Linked DNA regions of Ovis aries. The protein of the gene in region 1 interacts with the protein of each later gene in a biochemical or structural test. Links are inferred from orthologs where the notes say so. Each region holds a gene or a part of one and is shown in the gene's direction. Other genes may lie near its edges. The genes, in order: RAB5A, APPL1, RBSN, OCRL and CHML.

Evidence for each region.
Region 2: the proteins of RAB5A (region 1) and APPL1 form a complex in vitro, tested with the Homo sapiens proteins (2 studies listed by BioGRID and IntAct, with this or other methods). The link is inferred for Ovis aries from reciprocal best matches to the Homo sapiens genes RAB5A and APPL1.
Region 3: the proteins of RAB5A (region 1) and RBSN form a complex in vitro, tested with the Homo sapiens proteins (3 studies listed by BioGRID, with this or other methods). The link is inferred for Ovis aries from reciprocal best matches to the Homo sapiens genes RAB5A and RBSN.
Region 4: the proteins of RAB5A (region 1) and OCRL form a complex in vitro, tested with the Homo sapiens proteins (2 studies listed by BioGRID and IntAct, with this or other methods). The link is inferred for Ovis aries from reciprocal best matches to the Homo sapiens genes RAB5A and OCRL.
Region 5: the proteins of RAB5A (region 1) and CHML form a complex in vitro, tested with the Homo sapiens proteins (2 studies listed by BioGRID). The link is inferred for Ovis aries from reciprocal best matches to the Homo sapiens genes RAB5A and CHML.

Annotation. Positions count from the first base shown.
Region 1 is NC_056054.1:278,206,559-278,213,194, forward strand, and holds the start of RAB5A (ras-related protein Rab-5A), read left to right. Parts: upstream 1-2,160; 5' UTR 2,161-2,359; exon of another isoform or gene 2,360-2,530; intron 2,531-2,708; exon of another isoform or gene 2,709-3,089; intron 3,090-6,272; 5' UTR 6,273-6,365; coding exon 6,366-6,528; intron 6,529-6,636. UniProt on the Homo sapiens protein: The small GTPases Rab are key regulators of intracellular membrane trafficking, from the formation of transport vesicles to their fusion with membranes.
Region 2 is NC_056072.1:43,953,461-43,959,596, reverse strand, and holds part of APPL1 (DCC-interacting protein 13-alpha), read left to right. Parts: intron 1-844; coding exon 845-927; intron 928-1,606; coding exon 1,607-1,765; intron 1,766-2,389; coding exon 2,390-2,578; intron 2,579-3,670; exon of another isoform or gene 3,671-4,692; intron 4,693-5,387; coding exon 5,388-5,430; intron 5,431-6,136. UniProt on the Homo sapiens protein: Multifunctional adapter protein that binds to various membrane receptors, nuclear factors and signaling proteins to regulate many processes, such as cell proliferation, immune response, endosomal trafficking and cell metabolism.
Region 3 is NC_056072.1:57,118,424-57,123,996, forward strand, and holds part of RBSN (rabenosyn-5), read left to right. Parts: intron 1-700; coding exon 701-803; intron 804-1,803; coding exon 1,804-1,908; intron 1,909-2,527; coding exon 2,528-3,670; 3' UTR 3,671-5,573. UniProt on the Homo sapiens protein: Rab4/Rab5 effector protein acting in early endocytic membrane fusion and membrane trafficking of recycling endosomes. Required for endosome fusion either homotypically or with clathrin coated vesicles.
Region 4 is NC_056080.1:113,504,776-113,510,911, forward strand, and holds part of OCRL (inositol polyphosphate 5-phosphatase OCRL), read left to right. Parts: intron 1-219; coding exon 220-309; intron 310-1,016; coding exon 1,017-1,137; intron 1,138-1,225; coding exon 1,226-1,387; intron 1,388-2,654; coding exon 2,655-2,756; intron 2,757-3,271; coding exon 3,272-3,386; intron 3,387-4,455; coding exon 4,456-4,572; intron 4,573-4,678; coding exon 4,679-4,866; intron 4,867-6,136. UniProt on the Homo sapiens protein: Catalyzes the hydrolysis of the 5-position phosphate of phosphatidylinositol 4,5-bisphosphate (PtdIns(4,5)P2) and phosphatidylinositol-3,4,5-bisphosphate (PtdIns(3,4,5)P3), with the greatest catalytic activity towards PtdIns(4,5)P2.
Region 5 is NC_056065.1:34,431,392-34,437,527, forward strand, and holds part of CHML (rab proteins geranylgeranyltransferase component A 2), read left to right. Parts: 5' UTR 1-66; intron 67-2,270; 5' UTR 2,271-2,602; coding exon 2,603-4,570; 3' UTR 4,571-6,136. UniProt on the Homo sapiens protein: Substrate-binding subunit (component A) of the Rab geranylgeranyltransferase (GGTase) complex. Binds unprenylated Rab proteins and presents the substrate peptide to the catalytic component B.

The DNA of each region.
Region 1 (6,636 bases):
TGGTTCCAATTTGTGCTTTATCCAGCACTGCAGCACTAACACCCCAAAATATGAAACTGTGCAAATCCGAAACGAGAACTGGTAAAACTATTGATATGTTTCATTCAATAGACTGCTGATATAGCCAAGAAAAATGAGGACACTTTTCATAAAATGATTTAAAAAATCAGCGTATTTTCCAAGATGGCCACAAGATTTCATGCATATTCTTGTTAAAACACGACACTGCCTTTCTTTCCTCAAATCTGCACAAGTCTGTGACTTGAGCATCACTGATACTATCTCTGTGAAATTCTGGAGGTAGGTCATAAAAAGCCACCCAGCCTCTGCCTGGTATCTTGGGGACATTCATGCTTGAACCCAGCGACATGCTGTGAGGAAACCAAAACCAGGAGGCAAGCCATGTGCAGGTATTCTGGCTGACAGCCCCAGCTGAGATCCCAGACATGCTGAGATGACGCAAGCCCCAGGACTGACCCCCCTCTATGACATCAGAAAATCTCCTAAGCCCCCACTCTACCCCAAGAGACAGTAATTGTTTTAAATGACTAAACTTTGGAGTCATTTGTTTCTGAACAATAGATAACTGGGACAGTAATAAAGAGAAAAATAAAAAGCATATTGCAGAGTCTGCTATGTTTTAGATTGCATAAAATGGAGAAAATATATAGAGTTGAATATAACAGTAACTTTGCAAAACCAGTTAACACTACCTCTGGGGAAAAGAACTGGAAAAAGAACTAAGTAGTCAGAAGATAGGAGTGAGGCTTTTCAACATAAATCATTTGAATTTTGATTCACAAGAACAAACTAATGACAAAATAAAAATGTGATACGTGTGGACGGCATAAAAATGAATACAGCGGTGCTGACTTTGGAACATGAGTGACTTGAACATTTATTTTAAAATACTTTATCTTATTTTCCTTATAAATCAATACATAAGGGTGTTCTGTATCTGTCAAGCACAACACATTTTATAATAGAATGCTTACATCATGCATATCCTGAACCTAAACTACCAATTCCAGGATACAGGTGGCACTGAAGAAAGATTTGTCCTTAATTCCACCTGTCAGACAGTCAATACTGATGTCCTCACAACAGAGCTATAAATAATAAACAGCAAATTGGGGGAAAAAAAACACAAACCCTCATCCTGAGGAAAAATCGACTTAACACTCTACTAAATTCCAAAAGGATTTTTGGTTGGTTTGGTTTCAGATGCCCAGAAACAAGTTTTTGGTTTTTTTTTTTTTAACTTTTTATTTTGTACTGGAGTACAGCCAATTAACAATGTTTGTGATAGGTTCAAGTGGGACTCAGCCATACATATATGTGTATCCGTTCTCCCCAGAGTGGCTTCTCAGGCGTCACGGTGGAGAAGACTCCACCTGCCAATGAAGGAGATGCAAGAAACCCTGGGTCCGAAAGAGGCCCTCGAGTAGGAAATGGCAACCTACTCCAGTCTCCTTGCCTGGAACATTCCATGGACAAAGAAGCCTGGCAGGTTACAGTCCCTGGCATTTCCAAAAGCCTGACAGGACTCAATGGTAAACACGCATTCTCCTCCAAACTCCCCTACCAGCGGGGCTGCCCTCTAACATTGAGCAGAGCTCTCTGCACTACACAGTAGGTGCTTGCTGCTTATGCGTTTAAAATATAGCAGCGTGTACATGCCCATTCCAAACTCCCTATCCCTTCCTTCCTGGCAAACATGTTAGTTCTCTAACTAACTTCCTGCAGAGGAAGCTAATGAATGTCTTGGGTTCTTTAATGGAACTGTGCTTAAGAACTCAGGTTCTGTGCCAGTCTGCAATTTAAAGACGATTTCAGCACCTACTCCGCCGTGATTCTAGACAAGTTACACAATCTCCGTGCCTCGAATTCTTTACCAGTTAAACAGGCATGAATTCCACAAACATGACTGAAGACTTCCAGGCTGTCAAGTCATCGTGCTAGACAGCAGCGAGACCACTCTGTGGAGGTCATACTCCACCAGAGGAAGTCGGACAACCACGCTAGTCTCAGAGCTGAAGCCTCCTAGCGTAGGAAGAAAAATGGATTAATTCCCGTGAAGAATTTAGTACAAACAGTAACCCATGACAGGAAGTTCCCTGTAAAAGCTACCTATTATGTCATAACGTGCCCTTCTCCACCAAAAACGCGTAAAACTCTCGGGAGAGCAGGTTATTACGGAAGACCTCCCTGCCTAAAAGGACACCTCCGGGTCACACCCTCCTCCCCGGAGTCAATGCCCCTCACCAGCCTTCACCCACCCATCCACCCCCAAGGACGCGCGTCAGGAGGCTCTCTCTGCCAGAAAAGTCTGCCGACCTAGCAGAGTCGGTGCTGCAGGGTAAGGAACGGGGGACACCGCGCCAACAGTCACAGCCCTACGTCGGCCCGAGCTCTCCAGGGTGCCGCCGAAAGCGGGGCAGCTAAACAGCCCTCCCCGCCGTTCCCGGCCCACAGCCCGAGAGAGCCCCAAGCAGACAACAATGGCGCGCGCGAGGGCGGGGCTGCGCGCGCAAGGGCCGCCGGGGGTGGGAGGTGGCCTGCGGCGGGACCCGCCCCGCGGCGGGGGTCACGTGACCCAGCGGCCCCGCCCCGCCAGGGAGGGCTCTGAGAGCGGGCGGGGGCGCGGACAGAGCGGGCGGGCGGGCGGCGGCGGAAGTGACGGAGGGGCGCGCCTCGCTACGTGCGGCGACGTGGCGGCGAGGCCGGCGCCCGGCGGCGGAAGTGGCTCTCGCGCTGGGGCTGGAGTGTTTGTGTTTTGGTTCGCGGAGGAGCCGGCGGCGGGCCTGAGGGGAGGAGGGAGGAGGAGGAGGAATCAGCGGGAGCTCGAGCGCCGGGCGGCGGCGGCGGCGGAGGAGGAGAGAAAGGAAAGAGGAAGGCGGAGCGGAGAGAGGCGGGGACGGAGCCCGACGGGGGCGGCACCGCGGCGCGATCCCCGCACCGTCCAGTCTGAGGGGAGCGGCGCGACTGGAGGACACGCCGCCGCCGCCGCTCTTTAGGCCCTGCCTGGGCTGCGCCTGGAACCTGCAGCCGGAGCCTCAGCGCCGCAGCTCCACGCGCGGCGAGCCCAGGTAGCCCCGCCGGCCTTCCGCCCGCGAAGCGGGTCAGAGCCCCGGTGGTCCGCGGGCCCCGCCGTCACAGGGCCCCCCGGCCTTCCTGCTCGCGCCGGGGCCCGGGACCGGAGAGCCGCCGGACGCGGCGTCTCGGCCCGGCGGCCGCGGTGGCCCCCTGAAGGGGCCCCGGAGGCCAGGGTTTGGGGGCCGGCCGAGGGAGCGGCGGGTATCACCCTGTTCCCTTCTCAAGATGGCGCCGCGAGAGCGGCCCGGAGGCCGCGGCGCCGCTGCCCCGTCCCGGCAGCCGGGTAGGGGGTCCGCGGCCGGAGTCGGGCCGGGTTCGGGGAGGAGGCGGGAGGGGTGCGCGCGGGCCGGCGGGCCTGCCTGCTGGCCGGTCGGAGCTGCTGCCGGTGGCTCAGGTGTTCCCCGAGGAGGAACCTGGGCCTCCGGCAGGTGTGAATTCGGGGAGCTCCGCCCACCCCGGCTCCCCGAGCCGGGTAATGGAGGGAGGCGGTGGCCCGGGGAGCCCGGCTGTCCAGGGCCTCTTGTCTCAGCTCTGGAAGGTGGTGAACCGCGGCCTGAAAGCAACCCGACCCAGGTAGGCCGCCGAGGCCCTCAGACGGTGGAGCCGTTTGAACGTGCTCTGCTGTTCGCCTCCCTGCAAACTGGCTACTCTCTAGAGACTTTCAGACTTTTTAAGCTCTGAACGTCATAATTCGCATACTTGGTTTTTGTCTTTTGCTGAAGTGGAGCCTAAGTGTCCAATCAGTTGCCTTTCACATAACTAGTGGGGGAAAAAACCACATGGACACCACTGCGATAACTCCGGGCAGTTCAAGAAACTTGATTCTTAATTTAAAATGGGGATCATAAGAGCTTCTTAGGGTTGCTGTAAGCCTAATTCGTGGAATGGTGATTGGCATAAAATAAATGCCTAGTAAATGTTAGCTGCTGTTATGAATTCAATTTTGATCAAAGAGCACCCAGAAGGACTTTAACTACAGAATAGCAGTTATTTTCAAAAGATTTAAAATGCATTTTCTGCAAAATCTTTGGTTTTGGAAAACAAAAGTTTGTAATGAGTACAAATGAATATTACAAAATATAGCTTTTAACCTTAATGTAATGCTAACTATATTCATAATTAGATTTAGTTAATATTTTTGTTTGAGGTCCTTGGAGGGAACTATAACCAAAGTTAAATCTTTTTTTTTTTTTCCTTTAATGAGCATCTGATGCTTTCCCTGAAATTTCGGGAGGACTATAGGAATTCAGAGCACGTTGTCCTTGATGAGTAATTCAGTTTGCTGTTCTGTAGGTAATAGCTGGGAAGTGTTTCAGTTGCTGTTGTGTGTGATATATGAAGATTTGTTGGTACATTTTCAGTTTACATGACATTCTATTGATATTTGGTCATTATTTCATCAAAGGGGCACTTTAATTGCCTATTTTCAATCGCTGCTATGTGTTGACCACTGTATCAGAAATATTTTAGGTATATATTCTCTTAATTTCTCACAGCAGTTGTGAAAATTGGATATTCCGGAGTAGAGAGTTTGAAATGAAGGCACTTGCTCCAACAGAAATTAGTATAGTTATATCGAATTAGATCCCCAGATGTATGTTTGGGAGTGGTGGGAGGATAGATGTGAGATTGGAGCATTTTTTTAATCACAGAAAATTCTTTATGCAGAAGCAGGAAGAATAGTATAATGAACCCATCAACTAGCTTCAGTTATCTTGTTTTATTTATACCCCCATTGTTTGGGAGCAACTCAGATCTATTATTTCATTTGTAAATATTTTAGGTACAGTATGTATTACTGAAAGATAAGAGGTCTTCAGTGCTGCTGTTTAGATAAAGTAGAGGAGATTTTATTGTCTTAGATGTATGGTCTCATAGATATGTTTATTAATGAGTTGATTGTTAAGAGAGATTCTTGTATAAACTCGTTTCATGGGCAAGACAAATTTCTTACGAGGTACCTAAATGAAATCCAACAGTGACTTGAGAAGGAGAATCATCATATTTAATGTTATTAAGCACAGGGTCAGATTTTGATTAAAAGTAGAAGAAAGCTATTATGATTGATTTGTGAGTTATTTAGTGTTAGTCACTCAGTCGTGCCCAACTCTTTGAGACCTCATGGACTACAGCCCACCAGGCTCCTCTGTCATGAGATTTTCCAGGCAAGGATACTGGAGTGGGTTGCCATTTCCTTTTCCAGGGTCTTCTGCACTGCAGGCAAAGTCTTTACTGACTGAGCTAATGATTTGTGAGTAGCTTGGAAAATAATTTTTTTAAAGTTTGCTAGTATCTTTGAGAATTATCATTATTAAATGATAAAAGAAGACTTAGAAGTTGCATTTTAGGCTAGTTTTTTGTAAGTGTGTTAAATAGAAAATAATGACACGTTTAATTGTGAGCCCCAAAACTGCAGAAGAGTATAAGTAAGTAGGACACTCACTCACTCACCATCCGGAGAACCGCTGTTAACACTTCCATGGATGATGTATTTGAGGACATGAGAATACAGTGTTAAATCCTTTAGCCACCAGACATAGATCTGTTTAAAATATTTGTTGCTCCAAAGTTACCATTAAATAAAAAGCATGTGCCATTTACAAGGAGCCTTCAAAGAATAATGGCTGACTTTTATTGAGCTTAACTGTTTTAAGCTCTAAGGTTTTTTCCTTAATTGACTTAATTTTACTCAAAACCATTTTAACCTAAGTAATCTAGTTCCAGAACCAGAACTAGTCACCTTTCAGGTTGCATGGGTTGAAAATCAGCTCTGTTGAAGCTCTGTCACAGTAACTGTGTGACCTCAGTCAAGTCACCTAACCTTTCTATGCTTGTTTCCTCATTTTTTAAGGATTGGAATAGGCAACTTTATAGGGTTGTTGAGTGGCTATGTTAAGTATTTAAAACCATCTGGCACGAAATTGAGTCTTTAGTAAAGGTTAGACTTAGAATGTTTACAGAGGCTTAAAAATTACAGCATGACTTTAGGCTCAAAGCTCATACCTTTGCTTATTAATCAAGGCAGTGAATTAAAGTAAATGGCAGTCAGTGTCCAATAGAGGTTCTAGTTGTCGTGTATTACTGTGTTGCAGGCAAAATTTTAAAGTGATGATGTGAGGTTTGCTTTGTTTTGCTGATTTGTATTTTTAATTACTTCATATTTGTTTTTTTTACAGGTTTCTTTACCTCCAGAAAGAAAAGAATTGACTCCTTGCATCCTGGAAGTTCATTTAAGAAACTGATATTAGGGACTTCTTTCAAATTTGGACATGGCTAATCGAGGAGCAGCAAGACCCAACGGGCCAAACACTGGGAATAAGATCTGCCAGTTTAAACTGGTGCTTCTGGGGGAGTCTGCTGTTGGCAAGTCGAGCCTTGTGCTTCGTTTCGTAAAGGGCCAGTTTCATGAATTTCAGGAGAGTACCATCGGGGGTGAGATTTTCTTTTACCTTTCTTCATTTAATTGACTCATACGTTGACAAATAAGATTTTGCAGTTCTGATTGTATGATGATGGGTAACTAAATAGGTCACAGCATGA
Region 2 (6,136 bases), on another chromosome or scaffold:
AAGTTAGATTTTTATGTTAAATGTAAAGATATTACAAACTAAGGTCAAATACTCATTTTTGTCTGTTTTTAAAGCATTTTTAAAAATGTCGTCAGTGTGCTATCTTAAGGAAGTTAGAAGGGTTTTCCTTGCAAATGAAGATTTCAGATATTTTAGGGTAAATTAAACACACTTACCTTGGATTTAGACCTTGTCCATCTCAGCTGAGGACAGCGAACAGGAAGCTAAAGCACTCCGGAGCTACTCCTATTACTCAAGCTTCCAATCACTCTTGTTTTATAAAAAATCTGAAAGAGAATGGACATGCTTGAGTTTGTCCCATGTTCCTTGCATACCTCCTGAGTTAAACTGGATAAACTCCAAAGTATTCCAAGAGTGGTTACATCAGGAAGGAGGCTAGAAAATTAAGTTTGAGTAACATAAAACAAAATGGCAGTGCTCTAAAAGGAAGAGTTTATGAAATTTGAATATTCTTTTGAAAATGAGTGCTTATTATTCCTCTGATATAAAACTTACTTATCTTTGTAGTAAACATGAATTAGTTTATCTGTGTGACTTACTTGAAATGTTTGAAAATACCTTTTCTAATTTTAAAAACTTACTTAACCATATGTATGTGTTACTGTATAAGAGGATGCATGGTGAAATTTAAATGTAGTCTCTTCAGTAACTCTGCTCAGTAAAAATCACTGTAAACTACAACCTGTTTTTACACAAATGGGAATAACCCTTTTTACTTAACTATGTATCTTGGCAATTGTGTATACGATTCACTCTAAGTATTTTGTTTGTGTGTGTGTGTTTCTGTTGTTGACCCTCCCACTCCCACACCCTCTTGCCCCAGATAAGTTTCTTTAAGATGGGTTCTGAAAATCTCAATGACCAACTGGAAGAATTCTTAACTAATATTGGAACAAGTGTACAGAAGTAAGTATTTTCTTCCTTAAAACTGAAAATGAAGTTATGAGAATAAGCTAACAGCTAAATACCATAATCTAAAAATAGTTAGCACTTAATTTCAGATGGGCTGTTTTCCCTGCCATGGGAGTGTTTCTTGAGTGGCTTGTGGATGTTTCTTGGTTTTCTCACCATCTCTTCCACAGCATTTGGACTCTGAATTTCATAACAGTGTCAAATCGGATGGTATTTTTATTGATTTGAAACTAGGTTTTGTGTCTGAATATAATAGGCACCTAATAGTAATTATCCATAAGTGAATTATCTTCACAATTATCTGAATTGTAGAGTATGGATGGGAGATTATTAAATAAATCTAGAGAGAGAAAAAGCAGTTCTAATCAGCTTCAAAATCCGAGCAGTCATGTGGTTAAACTGTGATATGGAGAGAGATGAAAATGATTACTGTTTAAAGGCACAGGACAGAGCAGTTTGAAAATTCCTCCAAAGTGAGTCATTCGGTGTGGATTCATTAGCTTTGGAATTTGGTATTGGTTTCAAAATATCTAAAGTTTCAAAACGTAAAGCTGCTTTATAGCATGCTACTGCTGTTCCTTAGGAAAACATACAGAACAAATATACAGATAAATGAGATTGGTGTGGTGTTCTTTGTTCTGGTTGGTGGTAAATAACCTCTTCTCTCTGTTAGTGTTCGCAGGGAAATGGACAGCGATGTAGAGACCATGCAGCAGACAATAGAGGACTTGGAAGTGGCCAGTGACCCCTTATATGTGCCTGACCCGGATCCCACAAAGTTTCCTGTTCATCGAAACCTGACCCGGAAGGCGGGGTACCTTAATGCTAGGAAGTAAGAAAACGATTGTTATTTTCATATATTGTGTATCAGTTAAGGCAATAGCAAGTCAATATAATATATAATTGATAGCTCCAAATTGTTTTTATTTTACTAAATATAGAATCTTTCTACTAATACCACAATTAGTATTTATGTCAACTTTTTGACTGATGAGGTACGTGAGTAATTTTCAAAAGTAAAATTCTATTTAGATTTTTATCAAATGATTTAGAATTATTTTAAACAGGGAAACCAATTAGAGTTTAAATAAATGGCATAACAAGTAAATGTTATGATAATCATTATCATAATTTAAAATATATGTAATCGCACCATCAAGTCAAATGTTAGTTTTTACCTGAAGAAAGGATAAAGCAAGTTAACCCTCAAAGTAAAATAAATTTTGTTTTGAATTTATTCCCTTGAATGTTGGACTGTATTTTATGGAGCATCATTATAATAGCTATAATTTGATCATTTCCAGTCTTGTTTTGGAAATGTATACATGCACACTCACGCAAGGGGGTCAGCATATGTGAATTTATGACTGAAAAACTGATGTTTATGTTTTTTAGGCACCTTCATGCCGTTTTACCTGGCTTGTTATTAAAGAATAAATGTACTTTCTTCATTTAGTAAAACAGGCTTGGTGTCATCTACCTGGGACAGACAGTTTTACTTCACGCAGGGTGGAAACCTGATGAGTCAGGCCCGTGGCGACGTAGCAGGAGGCCTGGCCATGGACATAGACAACTGCTCAGTCATGGCTGTGGACTGTGAAGACAGGCGGTACTGTTTTCAGATCACTTCTTTCGATGGCAAAAAGTTAGTATGTTTCTCTACTATTTAAAAAAAACTGTCATATCTTAAACTACTGAAATGTAGGGTAATTCCTTTGCATTTGGACATTGTATAGATCTTTTAGAATGATTATGTATCAGGATAATTTTCATTTTAATTTTGTAGAAATTAGTTGAATTTTCCTTTTTGACTTGCATAAATAATGTCTTAATATTTTGAGGCTGTCAAAGCAAGTTTATGTGGTAAAGACATGTGATTTCATGTTAAGAGATTGGTCACTGAAAGTCCAGCATGGTGTCGGAAAGGCAGCACAAATTAGTATAAAGAGTTTCAGCATGGGGTCAGAAAGTTTGAATTCTGGATCCACCAGCTACTTTATAGTCTTAGACAAGTTACCTAACCTCTCTAAGCTTCATTTTTCTACTTGTAAAATGAGGGGAGGGAGGGTCTTCATTTCTATTTTATAAATTGATATGAAGACTAGAAATCTAACATATGTAATGTGCCCAGTGTGTAGTAGGTGCTAACGGTAATATTTTTAAATGTTAATCATATATTTCTGATCATATTAGTTATTTAGGCCATTAATATTTATATGCCATGTTAAAAATTTCTATTACCTTTGCATTAAACAAAAATTCCATAAAATAGCTTTAAAAACAAATTTTTGAGAAGCACAGAAAAAATATAAAAGGGAGTATGAAAAAAAGTTATAACCTCACTAACCAGAAGCAACAATTAACTTTTTGGCTATTGCCTTACAGTTTTTATATTTTATTCTAAGTACATTTTTTAAATAGTTAAGAAAATACTGAATGTTTATTTCATAGTCCTTCTGTAAATATGCAATGGATGTCAATTACTGTGTGCCACTTATGACACCAGATGTTGGGAGTCCCTGTGTTCATTTGTCCAAATCACCAAACTGTTAATGTTACTGGATGTATTTACATTTTTATATTTTCAGTTTTCTGCTAATGCTTAACATGATTTTCCATTTCATATTCCCCGTGTGATGTAAAATTAGCAAAAACAATTTTTTTTCCTAACTCTTAAAATATTAACCTCTATAGATGAACCTAGCACCTATAATACAGAGTGAGGTAAGCCAGAAAGTGAAAGACAAATATTGTATATTAATGCACGCATGTGGAATATAGAAAGATGGTACTGGTGAACCTGCAGGGCAGCAATGGCAACGCAACATAGAGAACAGACTTGTGGGCACAGTGGAGGAAGGAGAGGGTGGCATCAATTGCGAGAATAGCGTGGAAACATACATTCAGTTCAGTTCAGTTCAGTTGCTCAGTTGTGTCCGACTCTTTGCAACCCCATGAACTGCAGCACGCCAGGCCTCCCTGTCCATCACCACCTCCTGGAGTTCAGCCAAACCCATGTCCATTGTGTTGGTGATGCCATCCAGCCATCTCATTCTCTGTTGTCCCCTTCTCCTCCTGCCCTCAATCTTTCCCAGCATCAGGATCTTTTCAAATGAGTCAGCTCTTCGCATCAGGTGGCCAAAGTATTGGAGTTTCAGCTTCAACATCAGTCCTTCCAATGAATACCCAGGACTGATCTCCTTTAGGATGGGACTGGTTGGACCTCCTTGCAGTCCAAGGGATTCTCAAGAATCTTCTCCAATACCACAGTTCAAAAGCATCAGTTCTTCGGCACTCAGCTTTCTTTATAGTCCAACTCTCACATCCATACATGACTACTGGAAAAACCATAGCCTTGACTAGATGGACCTTTGTTGGCAAAGTAATGTCTCTGCTTTGAATATGCTGTCTAGGTTGGTCATAACTTTCCTTCCAAGGAGCAAGTGTCTTTTAATTTCATGGCTGCACTCACCATCTGCAGTGATTTTGGAGCCCAGAAAAATAAAGTCAGCCACTGTTTCCCCATCTATTTGCCATGAAGTGATGGGACCAGATGCCATGATCTTAGTTTTCTGAATGCTGAACTTTAAGCCAACTTTTCACTCTCCTCTTTCACTTTCATCAAGAGGCTCTTTAGTTCTTCTTCACTTTCTGCCATAAAGGTGGTGTCATCTGCATATCTGAGGTTATTGATATTTCTCCCGGCAATCTTGATTCTAGCTGGTGCTTCCTCCAGTCCAGCGTTTCTCATGATGTACTCTGCATATAAGTTAAATAACATATACATTACCATATGTAAAATAGATAGCCGGTAGGAATTTGTGACACAGGGAGCTCAACCCAGTGCTCTGTGATAATCTAGAGGGATGGGATGGGGTGGTGGAAGATGGGAGGGAGATACAGGAGGGAGGGGACATATGTATATCTGAGGCTGATTCATGTTGATAAATGGCGGAGGCCAACACAATATTGTAAAGCAGTTATCCTCCAAAAAAAGAGAAGAAAATATAAACCTACATCTCCTTATGTTAGTGATTAATATATTGAAAAGTTTTACTTAAAAATATTCAAGGAAAAATAGTAAATAATGAAGTAAAATTAGTGTTTTCTATTAAGACCACTGATTTATATTTGAAATACATGCGGTGAGTGTCAGAAAGTTAAAATGCATTGTCTTAGTGTCAGTGTCCCTTTTCCATAGCCTGCCTTCTGAAAACCAGCACATTTCTTTTTTGGTACCTCTTGGCAGAGACAGACCAAGTGAAGAGTTGTTAAAATCTAAGTCCTGATACCTCTGGTAGTTAGTCTCCTTCGTTACATGTTTTCTGTTGTGTTTTGTTTTTTGATACTGATTGGTTTTATGTGTATCTTTAAAGGTAAACATTTCTCATTCATGTTAAAAGTACTTTAGAAAAAAGTTGAATGTCAGACTTTTGGGTTTTTTTTTTTTCCAGGTCTTCAATTTTGCAAGCAGAGAGTAAAAAAGACCATGAAGAGGTAAAATTTTATCTATTCATATTTAATTTCTTTATCATCACCTTAAGCTCTTTTTCCGATGATAAGATATATTGATGTGTTCATTTTAGATATTTGGGAAATCATGGTTAATTTTTTCATAAAAGTCAATTGTCCCTCAAGCAACATTCTTAAGTTTCACATGGAATTTTATAAGTGGACCTATAAGTAGAGAGCTTAGAGATCACTGCTTGCTGTCCTTTTAGAAGCTCAGATTCAGAAATAGCCTTGTGACTGCTGCTTTCTGGCAGGCTGTTAGTATCATGAGGCTAGAGTTTAGTTTATTCCCTTCTCTTACCAACCCTCTGAGACAGTATTTGCTGCATTAAGAACATAGTAGCAGCAGACGTAGCATGGCAGTAAGCAACTAAAGTTTAAAGCCTTGGGGAAATGAAAGAAAGAAAAACAGAAATGTGGGAGTGTTTATTCTTCCTCATGACTCTCTTGTTTTTGGCCCCACTTTTACTTGTAGTACACCAAATATGGAAGGTGAGTTACTACTAAGAACTGACAGGTGAAAACCTGTCTTGAGCAATCTTCAGTGAAAATATACTCTTAAGTTGATTCTGAGCCATTTTATCTGCTATTATATAATTGTGTTGGTAGAAGACAATGTTGGAAATTATGTAGAGATCAACTTTTATTTACTTCTTATAGAAAAGAGTAGGTATTAAAACCTGCTTTTGGT
Region 3 (5,573 bases), on another chromosome or scaffold:
TACTGCTTTTTAACTGTGGATTGGCTGTTGGGGTTAGATCAGCCCTTTGCAGTATAGGAAGTACTGTGATTCAGAAAACAGATGCGGAACCCTTGTCCATCCGTACGTGCGAGACTAGCTACATAGGTTGCAGGATCAGAAGCAAAATGAAAATGCAGGTCCCCTGATCAAAGTTTAGAATTGTAAGGGACTTTCCTGGTGGCCCAGCGGTTAGGAATCTGCCTTCCGATGTGGGTTCAATCCCTGATCAGGGAACTGAGATTCCACACACCACGGGGCAGCTAAGCCTGTGTGCTCCACTACTGAGCCCTCGCCCCCAACTGAAGAGAAGTCTGCGTGCCGCACCCGAGTGCCCGCAGCAGCAACCAGGACCTGATGCAGCCAAATACAGAAATAAATACAAAAAAGGAGGCTTGTAAGGCAGTGACAGCAGAGTGCTGAACTAAGCACAGGGCTCCTCGCTGCACCGGTCACGGGCCCTCGGTGGCCGGGTGTTTGTCGTTTGCCCCGTGCTTGTCTGAGGCCTCCAGTACAGCCACCGGGTAAGAGACGGGCTTCACCCGCAAAGACGTTTCAGGGGAGCCTGGAGCGCATTTCTCCTCATACCTTGCCGGCACGCAAGCCTGGCGGCTGGGGACTCTCCACCCGTGTTTCTGAGGCTGGCCGTGCCTCTTACAGCGCCGTGTTTGTTCTCATGCAGTAAGAAGATCTTAACCTTAGACATGAAGCAGGACCCGCCGCCACATCCGAACACTCTGCGGCTGCAGAGGATGATCAGATACTCGGCCACACTGTTTGTGCAGGTAAAGCCGCCGCTCTCCACCACTCAGGAGGGCGGATGGGGCCCATGGCTTGCTTGGCACTAAGTTCGCACACTTACTGCTCTTTAGGGTTACATGTGTGTCAGCCACATCTAGAGAAAAATCTGCATGTCAAAGGAAAGTGACCTAGACCCTGCTCTGGGTGTGCTCACCACCCTTTATGTAACTGTTCCCCTGTCCCTGGGCGTCTGATAGACTCCCATTTCTCTGCTGCTGTGAGGAGTGCCTGGTGGACCTGCTTGCACAGAGTATTTCCTCCTTGCGATAGGCTCCTGGGGGACTCTCCCTGGGCCCTTGGTCTGGAGGAGACAGGTGATTGTTCAAGGGCTCACTCCACCTGGGAGGCTGCATCTGAGTCGTCTCAACCTCAGAAAGCCCTTGTGAGAGTCAGTCGCCTGTGGGGCTCCTGACGGAGCTCTGCGTATCCTGTTCGATTAGTTGCCTGACACCATCATGCAGAGTGACGCCCTCCCTGCTTTTGATGGATGACTGTGTTCCATAGTCGTTGGTGGGTGCCCGCTGCGGCCCAGGCAGTGTTTTAGGTGCTGGGTATCCTGATAGACCTTCCTGTTCTCGTAGAGCTTATATTATAGAGAGGGGATAGATGAGAAAGAGCTGAATATATGGCTTAAGAGGGTGGTAAGTGCTGGGAAGAAACGAAAGGAGGGCATGGGGGTGGGGCTCAGATGGTGGCTTACAGATGTGCTAATAGACAGGAAAGGCAGGAAAAGGCCTCACTGAGACGGCAAGTAACCGGGATGTCTGGTGTTGATCATCTCCTAATGAAAAGGCTGGCCCCTCCATAAGGAAGCTGGCATGGACCTGATTTCCAGGTTAGGTTCTTCCCTGCTCTGCTCGTTAGGGTGACTGTCTTAGACTGATGTGACGTAGCTTCAGCGGGCTCTCACTAGGGAACTTCAGATTCATTTTTTTTTTATCCTGAAAGGGGTTTAAGTATAAAATTGTCCATGACCCCCTACAGGAAAAGTTGCTTGGTTTGATGTCACTGCCGACCAAAGAGCAGTTTGAGGAACTGAAACAGAAAAGGAAGCAGGAGATGGAGCTGAAGAGGATCCTGGAGAGGCAGGTGAGCGAGGCAGGGGACGCTGGCTCCACGAGCACAGAGGCCTCCAAGGCTCCCAGGAGGTCTGGTGAGGTTGCTGTTAAGTCAGAACCTCTCACTCGCTCTGGTTTGTGTTTTCCTTCTGTTCTGGCCTCTTGCATTTTAGAAATCAAAGTAACTGTTTTTCTCCCCAGGTCCTATTTTTCTTTCGGAGGTTCTGCTGAGTTTCTCCTGTCTAGAATACCATGGAGACTGGCAGTCCTCCCCCCAGTACAGGCTGCAGACGACCCAGACACCAGGGAGTTCTTAGAACACTTTGGAACATGCAGTATTAAACAGAGAATAATATGTGTATTTAAGATTGTGTGAGATTCCAGTGTAGATGAGTGGTAATAGATCTCAGAGGTTTAAGGTAAGTGCTTAGCCAGTGAATGTGAGGTGGAGGAAAGCTTACCCCTTAACTTACTGGTTTGTTATTTTAATTTTGAAAAATCATGGCTTGATTTTAGCAGCTGAATACCACAGTCCCGAGGTGGGGGACTGGGGTCTCACTGGAATGGGGATGGCATGGCCGCAGTGGTGGCCGGCAGTGTGGCTGTTGGCCTGGTGACCGTGTTTCTTTTTGGCTTTGGTATCTTCCCAGGCTGCCCTGGAATCCCAGCGGAGGCTTGAGGAGAGGCGGAGTGACCTGGCAGCCCGCGCGACCAACGGGGAGGTGGCGCCCGCTCGCATGGGTCCTGCTCCGCTGAGGAAGGCTGAGGGCTGGCTCCCGCTGGCGGAAGGCCAGAGGCAGAGCGAGGACGCGGACCCCCTCCTGCAGCAGATCCGCAACATCACGTCCTTCATCCGGCAGGCCAAGGCTGCGGGCCGGGCGGACGAGGTGCGCACGCTGCAGGAGAACCTGCGCCAGCTGCAGGACGAGTACGACCAGCAGCAGACCGAGAAGGCCATCGCGCTGTCCCGCAGGCAGGCCGAGGAGGAGGGCCTGCAGCGCGAGCAGCTGCAGGTGCTGCGGGAGCGCGAGCGCGAGCGCGAGCAGGGCCAGGCGGCCTCTCTGCACACGCGGACTCGGTCCCTGGACTTCCGGGAGATCAGGCCTTTTCAGCTGGAGCCGGGCCGAGAGCCGCGCACCCACCTCGCTCACGCTTTGGATCTGGGCTCTTCCCCAGCTCAGAGCGGCACTGCCACCAAGACCTCTCCACCCAGCTCGGCTCCCGAGCCCTTCCGAGGGTGGTCTGGGCCCCCAGCCCTGGGCCAGGAGTTCCTGCCCCAGAGCACTGCGTCGCAGTGCAGTGAGGCGCCTTCCCTGAATCCCTTCGATGAGGAAGAAGACCTCGCCAACCCCTCAGCCGAGGGCACGGCCAGCCCTCCTGCTCCAGAGCCTTCCCTCAGCCTGCCAGCCCGCGTGCTCAGAGAGTACAACCCTTTTGAGGAAGAGGAGGAAGAGGAGGCTGTGGCGGGGAATCCCTTCGCTAAGCCGGATGGCCCCGCCCCCAACCCCTTCGAGGAGGAAGATGAGCCCCCCCCGCGGACACCCGCATCGCCCCCTGTCCCTGGCAACCCCTTCGAGGAGGCTCCCTGCACCAACCCCTTCGAGGAGGAGAGCAACGGCCAGGAGGGCGCCGAGCCCATCGAGGAGGAGCTGCTGCTCCAGCAGATCGACAACATCAAGGCGTACATCTTCGATGCCAAGCAGTGCGGCCGCCTGGACGAGGTGGAGGTGCTGACCGAGAACCTGCGGGAGCTGAGGCGCACCCTGGCTAAACAGAAGCGGGGCACCGACTGACCCGGCCGGGCGGGGGCCTGCGGAGCCGGCGGGCGGGCTGGGGGCGCGGCATGGAGGGGGAAGGCGGAGTTTAAGCTGGCTGCAGGTTAGAGTGGAGGAATCGGCTATTCTGTGCTGTGCACTTGGAGCTTTTCCCGTGACAGCTGAATAGTAAAATGGGAACGAGAACAGGAAGAACCAGCATGCATTTGCTGCTTTTCCTGAGTTTTTTTTAATAGTTGTGTTCTCCCTGTAGAAGGGACGTGAAATCTTCACTGCCGAGGTGTCACAGGTGCGGTTCCGCTGGGCCCTGGGCAGAAATGGCTCCCGTGTGCACCTGTGCCCGCGTTCACTCCTGCCTAGCGTCGATCAGCTTGCAGTGTTAGAGGGCAGCCTTCTATAGCGCCCTTCCTTTAGCCAAGACACACAGCATAGAGCCCTTGACATCTTACTCGGTTCTTAGGCTGTCCCATTAGACTATGTTCCTTTGGCCTGAGACTTCCACTACCCTCCTGGGCACGTCCTATGCGATGGCAGGGGAAGGTCTCACTGTGGAGGCAATAGTTTAGACCCAGGAAAGCCCCTCTTAAAAGGGGTGATGGGGGCGAGGTTTCCTCACGATCTCTTGCCCTCTTCCTTTTAGTTCTTATTTCTCTCTTTCAGGAAGTTAATCTCCCAGTGCAGGGTTATCACTGTGAGTCTGTTCATAAGCTTTTTAGAGAACAGCAGTTTTTAACTTTTTGGCTGATAGAAGTAGTATACTTTGGGAGCAGAGTCTGTCCAACTGTTGCTCTGTGGAAGTGAATGACCACCGGGACAACTGTCTGTCCCCAGAGAAAGCGTCGTCTAGAGCTTCGGCACAGTTACTCTGAGCTGGGCTTTTTCTAAGGGCCCAGGCTATAGTTTAGGAGTTGGTGGTCAGGAACCCTCGTGGAACCTTGCCAGAAGAGCTGAAGTCCCCTGAGTCAGAAGGTCAATGACAGTAACTTCCAAGGCTTGTCAATGAGCCTTTTTGTCTTGCAGGTCATCTTGTGCTGACCGTGGGCACTGGTGAGATACTCTCTCACCTACGTTTAGTAGTATTAAGAAATTAAATGGGGAATTCCCTGGCGGTCCAGTGGTTAAGACTCTGAGCTTTCATTGCTGAGGGCATGGGTTTAATCCCTGGTCAGGGAATTAAGATCCTGCAAGGGGTGTGGTGTGGCCAAAAAAAATAAATAAAAGTAAAATGTTGTAGGAGGCACAACCCAGGATCATTGTGGTAGAACCGCAGTACTTGAACTCTTCACCAGTTAAGGGCAAAAAGGGAAATTGTGAATTTCGCTTTGGTGCTTAGGTTTACAGGGACATGACCCTTAATTAACATCTGACATCAGATACCCAAGTGTGCTCGGCTCTGGGTAGAGTTGCTGCAGTTTTGCTTGTTAACTAATGAACAATAACTGACCACTAGTCACTTTATACCCATAACTAACTCTGGCTCTTACGGTCACTGGTTACTGGTGTAAGGGCTGAAATTTATTTTGTCTCATTCTGGGAAGACCCCTGTTGATCTTGGGAATGTCTGAAAAATTACTGTGGTGTAACAGTAATCTGTATTTGTGTTGACACTATTCACATTTCTTTAGCCCCTGCTGGCTCTTTGGGCTGAATGAAGAGGTCCTGTACAGAAGCGTGGCAGTGGGGAGTGAGTGGGTGGGCGGGGTGTGTGTGGAGGACCTTTTTGAGTTTGGGTCCTGTTCATAAAGCAGTGCGAGTGGGTTACTAAGGTCAGCCAGTTACCAGCGTTGCTGATTGTCATGGTTTGGGGAAGCTGGCAGTCAGGCATCTCAAATGCTGCCTGGTACAGGTGTCCTTACTCCCTCCAGGTCAGTGCCCGTCATGCTGTTACTCTTGAGGGTTTTACGGAGGACTGCATGTTCCT
Region 4 (6,136 bases), on another chromosome or scaffold:
CCAGATGGTCCCAGAGCTGCCCTCCTTTTCTTAGTCTCTTCCTTTGTGTTCAGGAATGGTGCTAAGTGAATGGCCTTTGGTGGTGGTGGTGGTTTAGTTGCTAAGTCGTGCCTGACTGTTGCAACCCCATGGACTGTAGCCTGCCAGGCTCCTCTTTTGGTTATGGTAAGTTCCATTCAGTGGAATGGTTGTTTCACTCTATGACCCCTATCTCTCCAGCTCAGTCACAGCTTCTTGTTCCAGACCAAAAGGAGTCATCCAGCTGGTACCAGAAATTAGACACTAAGGACAACTCTTCTGTTTTTTCAGGTACTGAAAAGATTCTTTTTTTTCCCCTGGTTGCTATGATGATTGCAGAGTCAGTAGATTTTACCTGGGCAGATAAGATAGTGTGGGGTAATGTCAATGTCAGATACCTTCTCCTGTGGAGTGGTTTTGGAATCTGTACTCACCACCTCATGTTCAGTCCTGTTACTTTCTGTGGCACATTAGCTCTTTTGGAGCCAGCTTAGCAGATGGGTAAAAAATGCAGACTCCAGGGGCAGACTGCCTGGGTTTGAATCACAGCTGTCTGACTTCCTAGTTATATGACCTTGGTCAAGTTACTTTGACATCTCTGAGCTTCTGTTTCTTTTTCTGTAACTTAGGAAGATTTTTTAATAGCACCTATCTCATGGGGGGTCTTTGTGACGATTAAATGAGATAGTGATATAATCCCTAATTATCAACCAGGCATTGTGCTAAAAGTATATAAATACTCGCTCTTTTAGTCACATTCCAAGTTAATGTAACTTACTAGTTATGTTTATCATTCTAGTTAATATGTCAGTGGTTCAGGGACAAATGTGCTTCTTCCCCTAGCTACGTTATCACTGTTCGTATACCTTTCTGTTTGGTAACGCTGCTGAGCAAATAGGGGTCAGACCAAAACCGCTGACCAAAGCAAAGTCCTATCTATCCTGAACAAGTTGGATGTTATCTTCCCCGGCTTTGACTCTGGGTTCTGCATCCTTCAGGGCTTCTTGGATTTGAGGATAATTTTTCATCTATGAATTTGGACAAGAAAATCAATTTGCAGAATCAGCCTATAGGGGTTCACCGGGAACCTCCACCCCCACCCCCTTCAGTGAATAGAATGTAAGTCCTGTGTTGAAACAGATTTCCCATGTGTGAGACTTCCCTGGTGAAGGCAGTTTCACTTCTGAATTGCTCATTTATTTGCTAGGCTTCCACGTGAAAAAGAAGCTTCTAACAAGGAACCCCCCAAAGTGACCAACACCATGCGGAAGCTCTTTGTACCAAACACCCAGTCTGGACAGCGGGAGGGTCTCATCAAACACATCCTGGCAAAGCGAGAAAAAGAATATGTCAACATTCAGACTTTCAGGTTAGTCTCTCTTCTACTTAAGGAGGTGAAACATTAGTTACCTTAGTTGGTATAGAAAAAATATTCTTTTGGTATTTAAGATATTAGTGTAATTAGCTTATTTCAGAATTAAAGCATAATAAAAAAGAATGGTGAGTTGATTCAAGCGCTTGTCTTTTTGCGGTCAGTAACCTACATATCCGCGATAATGCAAATGCTACAATTTCCCTTGGATTTTCTAATTACTAATAATACCACATCTACTAATACTATCCACTCTTAGAGAACGAAATCAAGCTCACATGTACTAGAGAATTGTCTCCTAGCACATTCCATAAGCAGGTGTGTTTATCTATCTGACCTGCTGAATTTCTTTTTGCCAGTACTGGCAAATTAAGTCCACTGTTACCGCTAGACCTTAATTTTCATTTTCCTACTTTGGTAAGTTAACTAAACGAAGTTTCACCCAATCCTCTTGATTGGGAGGCCTATCTTGAATTCTTTCCTCTATTATATTTTTCATTTCATTTTTACTTGTTGATATCCTCTTTCTTGGATTCACTGTGTGTGGCGTGTGGAATGGTGTATTGTGCCGTGTATCTCGATGTGCAGAGCAGCAACGTTTTTCTTTGTTATTTGCGAACAGCATGTACTCTTTTAGTCCAAGATTCCAGTCCCATCTGCTATCCCATTATGCCTCATTTATTCTAATTCAGTCATGACTATATCCCTGTGCTGAAGCCTCCAGTTCTTCAGATTCCCCAGGATGCTTATATTTGTATGTAAACAGTTAAGACAGTCATGAGTTTTCCCTTCTGCTTTCCCCCTTAATACTATATCTGTCTCAACAGAATTTCCTCCACAGATGTCCTTCTAATCCTTCAAGAAGTGAGTTTTTGGATTTAACTATGGTTCCTTATGGAACAGTTATCCATATTAGACATCCTTACAGAGTGAAGATACCTCTTTCCCATCCAGAAGCTCTCCCTTCAAATATGTTTGGATGGAATGTAAGAGGAAGGAAATGTGGTAGAGCCGTTAAATTTGTGTTTTTTAAATAGAAACTTGATTCCTTTCTGTAGGTTTACCTGCTGTGAAAGTTAGAGGGAATAAGCCCACTGCCTTTGCATTCTACAGGCAAGAAGGGGTTTTGGTATGTGTGGCAAAGCAGCTTGAGAAATTGCACTGGCTTATTGTGAATATACACTTGTATAGAAGTAATGAGAGAACTTTCTTTAGTTCATACTTTACCTTTGTTTCTAAATTATTTTTTGGTATTATGTATTAGATTTTTTGTTGGAACGTGGAACGTGAATGGCCAGTCTCCAGATAGTGGGTTAGAACCTTGGCTGAACTGTGATCTGAATCCTCCTGATATCTACTGCATTGGGTAAAATACATATCTGGAATTTCATTTTGGCTATGTGTTTGGTGTTACTTTATGTGACATTTTGCCCTTTTTTCCCCACTGTTTGTAAAAACCTACTGTAGACTATATATGAGAGCTAACTTGTGGGTCAAATTTGTGAGATCATAGAGGAACAGATATCTAAAATGGTGTGAGGAAGCATCTAGTCCTCTCAAAACCCATAGAAAACTATATTCTTCATAGAAACTGAGATCTGAGGTTAATTCTAATAGTGACTATTCCTAGGATATATAAGCAAAGCTCTGTTATCCCTTATGGAAGTTTTTTGTGTGTTTTGCTTGACCTATGCATATACTTGTGGGGGAGTCTTTTGAAAAGAAAACTACTTGTCCTTACTGATCACTTGAGCAGTAGAGCAGTTCTCTAAAATTCCTCTCTCCCACATTCCTTTTTTCACCTAATGTCTCAGAAAATGGGACAGGAGGTAGTCAGAGATAATTATGGGATGTAGATCTCACATCCTCTTGTTTTCTCAGATTCCAAGAGCTGGACTTGAGCACAGAAGCCTTTTTCTACTTTGAATCTGTGAAAGAACAAGAGTGGTCCTTGGCGGTAGAGAGGAGTTTGCATTCCAAAGCCAAGTATAAGAAAGTAAGCTGCATTTAATTATCTTTTTTAGTATATGACTAAATAGCACTCACTGGAAGTTACTCTGTTTATAGCTTGTTCCAAAAGAATGGATTAATTGAATTCTCCCCCATGTGTAATACCGGATAGGGCAGACTAATGCTTTTCATTCCTATTTCCTAGAAAAAAAATTCCCTAAGCTTCTCAATTCTATAGTTTCATTGCTTGGCTAAGTTTTAAGAGAAAGGAAGAATTTTACTGTGCTGATAGCAATAATTAACTCAAATGACATATAAGTGATTTTTTGCAACAAGAATTTAAGATTGAAATTGTTTGCTTACACGGTCAGAACTGGATGCTTTACAGAAAAGCAGTTTGAAGCATGTGGGTGCATTGGGTAAGCTTTAGAATTGGAGCAAGAACAGGAGTGTTGTGGAATTTAAATGAGTTTAAAACTTGGTTGTAAGTCAAGAGTAGAGTTGACTTTAGCAAGGTGACCCAATTTGTTGGTCTTTAGAAGGCACATAGTAGAGGCTACCAAAAGAGTTATTTTAATTATTCAGCTACCATATCAAGCCCTTCAAAAGGAGTCATCTGTCTGAGTAATTTTCATCTGCCCCTTCTTACACCTGATGTAGGTGATAAGACTGCTGAAGATGTTATTCCTCTCATATAGACTAATACATATTTCAGACATATTTCTAGTTCACAAAGTCAATAGGATTGTTATACATTTTATTAGGAAATTTACTAGGAAGGAGAGGCAAAAGGAACAAGCTGGGATAGAGGCTTTGTCTTTATTATTCAGCTTTTAAATACTGCTTACTCATGGTAGGCTAAAACGTGATTAAAATAATGAATCTAGAGCTGAGGGTACTTGTTGTCCCTGAAGACTTTTACTGGTCAGAGCCAGATTAGCGCTTTCCTGGAAAAATTTTGTTGCCTGTTTATGAGGTCCATTGGGAAATTAGAGGATTTAGATTCAAATTGAGGCATGATTATATCTTCTTGGTGGAAAATTACTTGTGGGAAGTTAGAGATGTGCAAAGAGTGGTATTAACACAAACCTCTTCTAATTTCCTGGAACTTAAAGGTTCAGCTAGTCCGCCTTGTTGGGATGATGCTCCTGATATTTGCCAGAAAGGATCAGTTGCGATATATCCGTGATATTGCTACAGAAACTGTTGGAACTGGAATCATGGGAAAGATGGTGAGTTAATCTGGAGTTGAGCTTGATTATGATTTCATGTCCATATGAAGTTCAGGTGCTCATTGTGTCTTTTGTACTAACTGTGAATAATTACTCTTGCTAACAGGGAAACAAAGGTGGGGTAGCTGTGAGGTTTGTATTTCACAACACTACCTTTTGCATTGTCAATTCCCACCTGGCTGCCCACGTGGAAGAGTTTGAAAGAAGGAATCAAGATTATAAGGACATCTGCGCACGAATGAGTTTTGTGGTCCCAAATCAGACCCTCCCACAGCTGAACATCATGAAACATGAGTGAGTGGTTAAGTCTTCTTTAGCCTTTGAGTAGCGGAGCTGAGAAGAGACTAACCATGATGAGAAACTATAGAAATGTGCAGAGTGAGAGATTACTGTTTTGGGATTGGGTTCACAAAGAAGAGGAAGGTACAACTAGCAGATGCAATGAGTCAGAGAAATTAGATTTGCTATCAGAGGAAAGCTTAGTTCTATCAGCGGACATCTGAGTATTGGTGGAGGGGGTCTGTCAGTTGTAATCAGTTTTCATTATTTTTTATTATAAAATAGAAATATTTATTATAAATATAATAAAAGGTGAAAGGAAAAAAATCCATCATTTCTTATCTCTGCTTTCCCCAGCCAGTCCCTCCCTCCAGAGAAAACCACTGTGGACAATTCAGTGTGTATCCTTCTAGATCTCTGCTGTCCAGTATGGCAGTCCAGTAGCCATAGGTGACTACTGGGCACTTGAAAGTAACTAGTCCAAACTGAGATGTGTGGTGAGCATAGACTATGCACTGAAATTATGGGGGAAAATGTAAACTATCTCAATTTTTAAGATATTGATGACATGTTGAAATGACAAAAGTTTGGATATATTGAGTTGAATGGAATTTGTTGTTAAAGTTATTTTCACTTGTTTCTTTTATTTCTTATATTCAGCTACTAAAAAATTTTAAATTACATTTGTAATGTGCATCCTATTTCTTCTGAATAGTGCTGTTCTAGACTTTTAACTGTGCACATGCACACACATACTCAGTATATAGGACTGTATTATCCTATTTTTTGTGAATTATTTTCCAAGCCAGTAAACATAGGTCTACATTATTCTTTTCACTGACTGTGAATCATTCAGAAAAGGGGCCATGGTGATTTAAAAACACCAGTGGTTAATATGAAAGGTTAGTGAATAATGGAATTTAATAAGAACAGAAACAAAAATCAGTTGAGGAATGGATTCTCAAGGAATCAGTTGAGAAAATAGCTGTGAGGAAATTAACACTAGTAATTGAAACTCTGAGAGGGTGATGAGACTTGGAATAAGTGGTTTGAGATAGGAATTAGCAGGAAAACAAAAGATAAATTGAGGGCTATTAGAATCAATAGAGAGTGGGGTAATTGAGGAAAGAGTAGGGCAAGATAGTGATGTTGGCCTGTTCATATTGTCTCAACATTTAGGATCATATGGAATTCTGCTTCACAGTGGTAAAGCAAGGCCTTGACATCAGTGGTCATAAAATTGACCTGAGATTCCATAAATTTATTTACCTGGGATTCCTTAAAT
Region 5 (6,136 bases), on another chromosome or scaffold:
ATGGAACCTGTGTCTCCTGCATTGACTGGCGGATTCTGGAGTAAATTCCAAACATTATGCTTCTAGGTAAGAGTTAAAGAGAGGGAGGGTGCTTTCCTCATTGCTAGCCCTAAGCAAGAACTAACTAACCCTGGAGTAGTGAAGGGCAGGACATTCTAAAATATCAAAAGTGACTGCTTACTTCAGAGGCTTCTAGAGAGGCTGCTCTGTCAAATGGAAAGACCACTGGCCTGATGGTGTGAGCATGGGTCCCACTTAATCCTGTGGCTAACCCATCATGTGGACTCTCCCAGTCACTTAATCTCTCCAGTCATCAGTTCTCTTACCTGGGGTTACAGGGTAATTGAGCTAAATGTTCTTTAAGGTTGTCCTGCCTTGCCTTGTATTATGAGAATTCCGTTGATACCTGTAGGTTAGGAGGTGGCTGGTTTCAGCACTTATGGCTTATATCCTTTCTCTTACTCCCAACCCTCTGCTATATCCCCTTCTAAGCCAAAAATAGGTACATACTATGGTTACACTTCTTCACATACCCTCATGGGTTCTGGGTTCTGTCTTCCTCTCCACACTCTGCAGGAAGAAAGCAGAATAAGTAATTCACATATATATATGAGTAGGCCAGGCGACCACTTCATTCTGTGCTCAATTCCTGGTTTCTTAGGGAATGCTGAAAGCAAGTGGAATCCCTAATATTCTTTAGGCAGAGGCTTTGACCAGATAAGACTATGAAGATTGCCATCTCATTTAAACTGAACTATCAATTCAGTGAATTAGTCACTTCAAGTTCCAGTTGAATGGCTTGTTATATGGGTATCCAGGATACCCATCTAGTCATCTCAGCCTAGGCAGGCCCAGTATGCACTGATCTAGGTTTCAGTAAGTGTAGCAGTAGGAAAAATCAGAGCTCAAGAAACTTACTCTTACCACGCAATGATAGGAAGGCCATCAAGCATGTGGTTTGTGTAATACTTCAATCTAATAACTTCCAGGTGAGTATGCCTTTCAGCCCTTTGGCTATTGCACCTCTGGCAACACCTACCACCATGCAGGTGTTCTGCACGTGGAATACAACAGAATGATGCTACAGATTAACAGGAGAGACTTTCTTTACTACCACCTCCTACCCCTTCAAAAATAAGAACAACAAACAACATGCTAATCTTGGCAGAGGATGTTTAGACCTTCATCTTGAGATGAAGAGATTCAGTCTCAGAGCTAGGGTCTCATAAAATGCATGTCACCCTATGTTGACATAGGTTTTTAGAAGCTGTACTTCAGTCACTCAGTTGTGTCCAACTCCTTGTGACCCCATGGACTGCAGCATGCCAGGCTTCCCTGTCCTTCTCTATTTCCCAGAGTTTGCTCAAACTCATGTCCATTAAGTCAATGATGCCATCCAACCGTCTCATCCTCTTGTTGTCCCCTTCTCTTCCTGCCCTCAATCTTCCCCAGCATCAAGATCTTTCCCAATGAGTCAGCTCTTTGTATCAGGTGGCCAAAGTATTGGAGCTCCAGCTTCAGCATCAGTCCTTCCAGTGAAGTAGATGTTATTTTATACTGCAGTGTTTTAACATATGGACCCAGGACTTTTCCTTTTTAACTTACACCTAAAAACCAAACCTGTGCATATGCACATTTATATAAGGATTTCTTACAAATGCATTTTCAGTAGACTGATTCTTTCATATACCTAAACATTTCAATATGCTATTTTATTGAATTAATCCTTTTCTGATTATAGCAGTGGCCCATTCAATAGAAATAGTCTCATGTTGTTCCCATAAGAGCCTAAAGGTGGGTGGGGCATGAGAAAGTCTTTTATTCATCATTTGTCTTAGAAGCATCTACAGACTGTATGGGCCACAGAAATATGCATAATCACAGCAGCATGCACATAGTATATAGTATGTTTCCATAAACACAGTGGAGCCACCTGTTACTTGCAATTTAATCTCCTAGTTGTGTACCATTTATTCAAATACTTAAAACCAAAAGTTATAGAATTGTACTCCACTAATTCTTTATTTTTGTGGGATGTTGTTATATCCATTCTTCATTGTTGAATTGCCTGACTTGGAGGAGTCTATATCTTTTGCTTATTTTCAAGAAGTTAGAAAACATGTGAGAAAGCATGTAATGACTTGCTTTAGTAAAATCTTATGTCCTGATATCAAGTTGTGTTCCATAGGATTATAATTGTTGATGCTTGAAATTATTATTCTCTTAGTGTTGTTAATAATTGTATTCTTTCTTGAATTTTCTCCTTTCAGAGCAGAATTCCAGTCACAAATCCATATGTGATACATTTTGACATGCACTGCTAAGATGAAACACAAAAATGAACACCGTATACTTGTTTTATTATTCTCAGATATGATTAGATGTACTTTATCATGGTTTTATGCTACTGACCTAGAAGAAAATAATACTAAAAAAGGGTAGCAGTTGAATACCTGGGACCTGCAACTTCAGTATTTCTGGGATGATCTGGAATATCACAAGGAGAGATTTTATTACAGCATAGTCACACCTTCTCTGAACCCTCAGCCCAGATTCATACACATTTTCTTCATTAGAAGTTGTCACCAGATACTTTTCCAGGATGGCCAACAGTCTCCCAACAGAATTTGATGTGATAGTGATGGGGACAGGTCTGCCTGAATCCATCCTTGCCGCTGCATGTTCCAGAAGTGGTCAAAGGGTTCTGCATCTCGATTCAAGAAGTTACTATGGGGGAAACTGGGCTAGTTTCAGCTTTCCAGGATTGCTGTCCTGGTTGAAGGAACATCGGCAAAACAGTGACACTGTGGAAGAAAGCCCTGCTGCATGGCAAGACATGATCCATGAAACAGAAGAAGCCATCCCTCTTTGCAAGAAGGATGAAACCATTCAACACGCCGAAGTGTTTTGTTATGCCAGTCAGGGCATGGATGGCAATATTGAAGAGCTTGATGCTCTGCAGAAAAATCCTTGTGTAGCATCTAGTACCCTCATAAAACCTCTGGATTCTACAAGCTTGTCTGAGGAAACTCACTCATCACACATTACTAGCTATGAAGTGCCTACACAAGACAACAATGTAGACAACAATCCAAAAAACAATGAAGAAATAACTGATACGGCAGAAACTTCTGTGAAAGAAGAATATTGTGGGTATGATACTTATAAACACACACTTTCAGATGGCACTAAAGATGAAATCAAACCTGTATTGGAAAACAACAGTGTGCCACCAAAGAGAAAGAGGATTGCTTACTCTCAAATAGTTAAAGAAGGCAGGAGGTTTAATATTGATCTGTCATCGAAGTTGCTTTATTCTCAAGGACTGTTAATTGATCTGTTAATCAAATCAAATGTTAGTCGTTACGCTGAATTTAAAAATGTCACTAGGATTCTTGCATTTCGAGAAGGAAAAGTAGAGCAGGTGCCTTGTTCCAGAGCAGATGTCTTTAATAGCAAAGAGCTCACTATGGTTGAAAAGAGGATGCTAATGAAATTTCTTACATTTTGTTTAGATTATGAACAACATCCTGAGGAATACCAAGCTTTCACACAATGCTCATTTTCAGAGTACTTGAAAACCAAAAAATTAACCCCCAGCCTCCAACATTTTATACTTCACTCGATTGCCATGATGTCAGAATCATCTTGCACTACAGTAGATGGCCTTAAAGCAACAAAAAACTTTCTTCAGTGTCTTGGACGGTTTGGCAACACTCCCTTTTTATTTCCCTTATATGGCCAAGGCGAAATTCCCCAGTGTTTCTGCAGGATGTGTGCAGTTTTCGGTGGAATATATTGTCTTCGCCATAAAGTACAATGCCTTGTAGTTGACAGAGAATCTGGAAGATGTAAAGCAATTATAGATCACCTTGGTCAAAGGATAAATGCTAAATATTTCATTGTGGAGGATAGTTACCTGTCTGAGGAAACATGTTCCAGTGTGCAGTATAAGCAGATATCCAGGGCAGTGCTCATTACAGATCAGTCTGTCCTAAAGACAGATTCAGATCAGCAGATTTCCATTTTGATAGTACCTCCAGTGGAACCAGGAGCACATGCTGTCCGAATCATTGAATTATGTTCTTCAACCATGACATGCATGAAAGACACCTACCTGGTACATCTGACCTGTTCATCTTCCAAAACAGCAAGAGAAGACTTAGAATCAGTGGTGAAGAAATTATTCACCCCGTATTCTGAGACAGAAGTAGACAAGGAAGAACTTCCAAAGCCAGGACTCTTGTGGGCTCTTTATTTTAACATGAGAGATTCCTCGGGAGTCAGCCGAAGCTCATATAATGGCTTGCCTCCCAACGTTTATGTCTGCACTGGGCCTGACTGTGGACTCGGAAGTGAGCATGCCGTCAAGCAAGCTGAAACACTCTTCCACGAGATCTTTCCAAGTGAAGAATTCTGCCCCCCACCTCCAAATCCGGAAGACATTTTCTTTGATGGTGATGAAAAGCCATCAGAGCCTCTTGGAACCAGTAATATAGTAATGGCCAAACTAGAATCCTCTGAGGGAAGTAAAAACCTAGAAAGTTCAGGGAAGCACCTTCAAAATTAGAAAAAAAAACAAACTGGAAATGCTACTTTGGGCCTTTGTCCTGGCATCAGAATATTCTCATTTAAAGGACAGTTTCCTATAGGAGTAATTAGATGTGGTTATATGATGAATGTCATGCAGATGTCTATAATTCTCTTTGTGACTTTTAGTCATTGGATGCCTTTGTTAACCTATCAATGACTGATGTATTGGGTATTGGACTTGTTTTGTTTCAGAATGGGCTCCATGACCCAGAATTAGCTTTATTTTAGTACTGGGTATATATGTGAGAGTTCCGTGTTAGCAATGGTGCTTAAAGGAAGATGATATTATATCTGCTGATTATCTTCAAATTTTATTATTGTCTACAGAACGGTGATATCTAAGGAATATTTAAATTATTTTTACAGCTATTACAGTTGCTACCACCTCTGAGTAGTGAAACACAGGAAATTATGTGGGTCTTTTGTTTATAATAGAAACATATAGATATGGTGGCAGCAATAGCAACTAATGCAAGTGCCAATGTGATAAAATATGTAATTGTTGGAAGAATAGTTTTGCATGATCTTTTATTTGTAAAGGTGATGTTTAGAATTCACCTTGCAGTTTAATTCTCCTGGTTGACCCTTGTAGTCAATGAGGCAGTGATGTCATCCCAGTCTTATACATTGGAAAGAGTCAGAGAGTTCAGTTAGTAGTTGCAAAGCTCATTCTTGGGAGGTTTGGTCCAAAGAAAATCTAGGGGGAAAGATTAGTTCTGGTTCAATACTTCAGAAGACTTATGCAGAGCACAAAAGAACTTCTAAGTAATTCAGGCTAAAGAAAAAATAAACTGCTCCAGGAAAAGATATTTCAGAATGCCTGAAGCATTTTTAACCTGGGATTACAGATGGTTTTAAAAATCCATCTGTGAGTAGATTTCCCAAGATTTCTCAATGGAAGTGAAGTATACCATTTTGTTGGCACCACCGCTTTAATTAGTAACACTACAGTTGTTAGGAGTAAATCAGAGGAAGCTTTACCATGCCCCTTTGGTTGTGTCCCAGCAAGTAACGAGGTGGACACCTTCATAATCAGCTCCTGCCTCTTAGCTGTTATCTAGAAGATAGAAATATTTTTTTCCAGAACCACCAGAAGTTATAAAGCTGCTTATATTCTAGCAGAGCAAGCTTGTGAAACTCAGAAGAAGTAAATTTCCTTCCTAAGTCACCATTTCTATTCCTCAGACAGAGAATGATAATCCTATAGGAAATAAGCCCTTTAATTACATTTCTTTTGCCCTGGAACAGAGCATTTACTGTGTGCTACGCACTCCAGTACTCCTGCCTGGCAAATCCCACGGATGAAGGAGCCTGATAGACTGTAGTCCATGGGGTCGCTAGGAGTCAGACACGACTGAGTGGCTTAACTTTTCACTTTTCACTTTCGTGCATTGGAGAAGGAATGGCAACCCACTCCAGTGTTCTTGCCTGGAGAATCTTAGGGATGGGGGAACCTGGTGGGCTGCCGTCTCTGGGGTTGCACAGAGTCGGACACGACTGAAGCGACTCAGCAGCAGCAGCAGCACACACTTACTGTACTCTC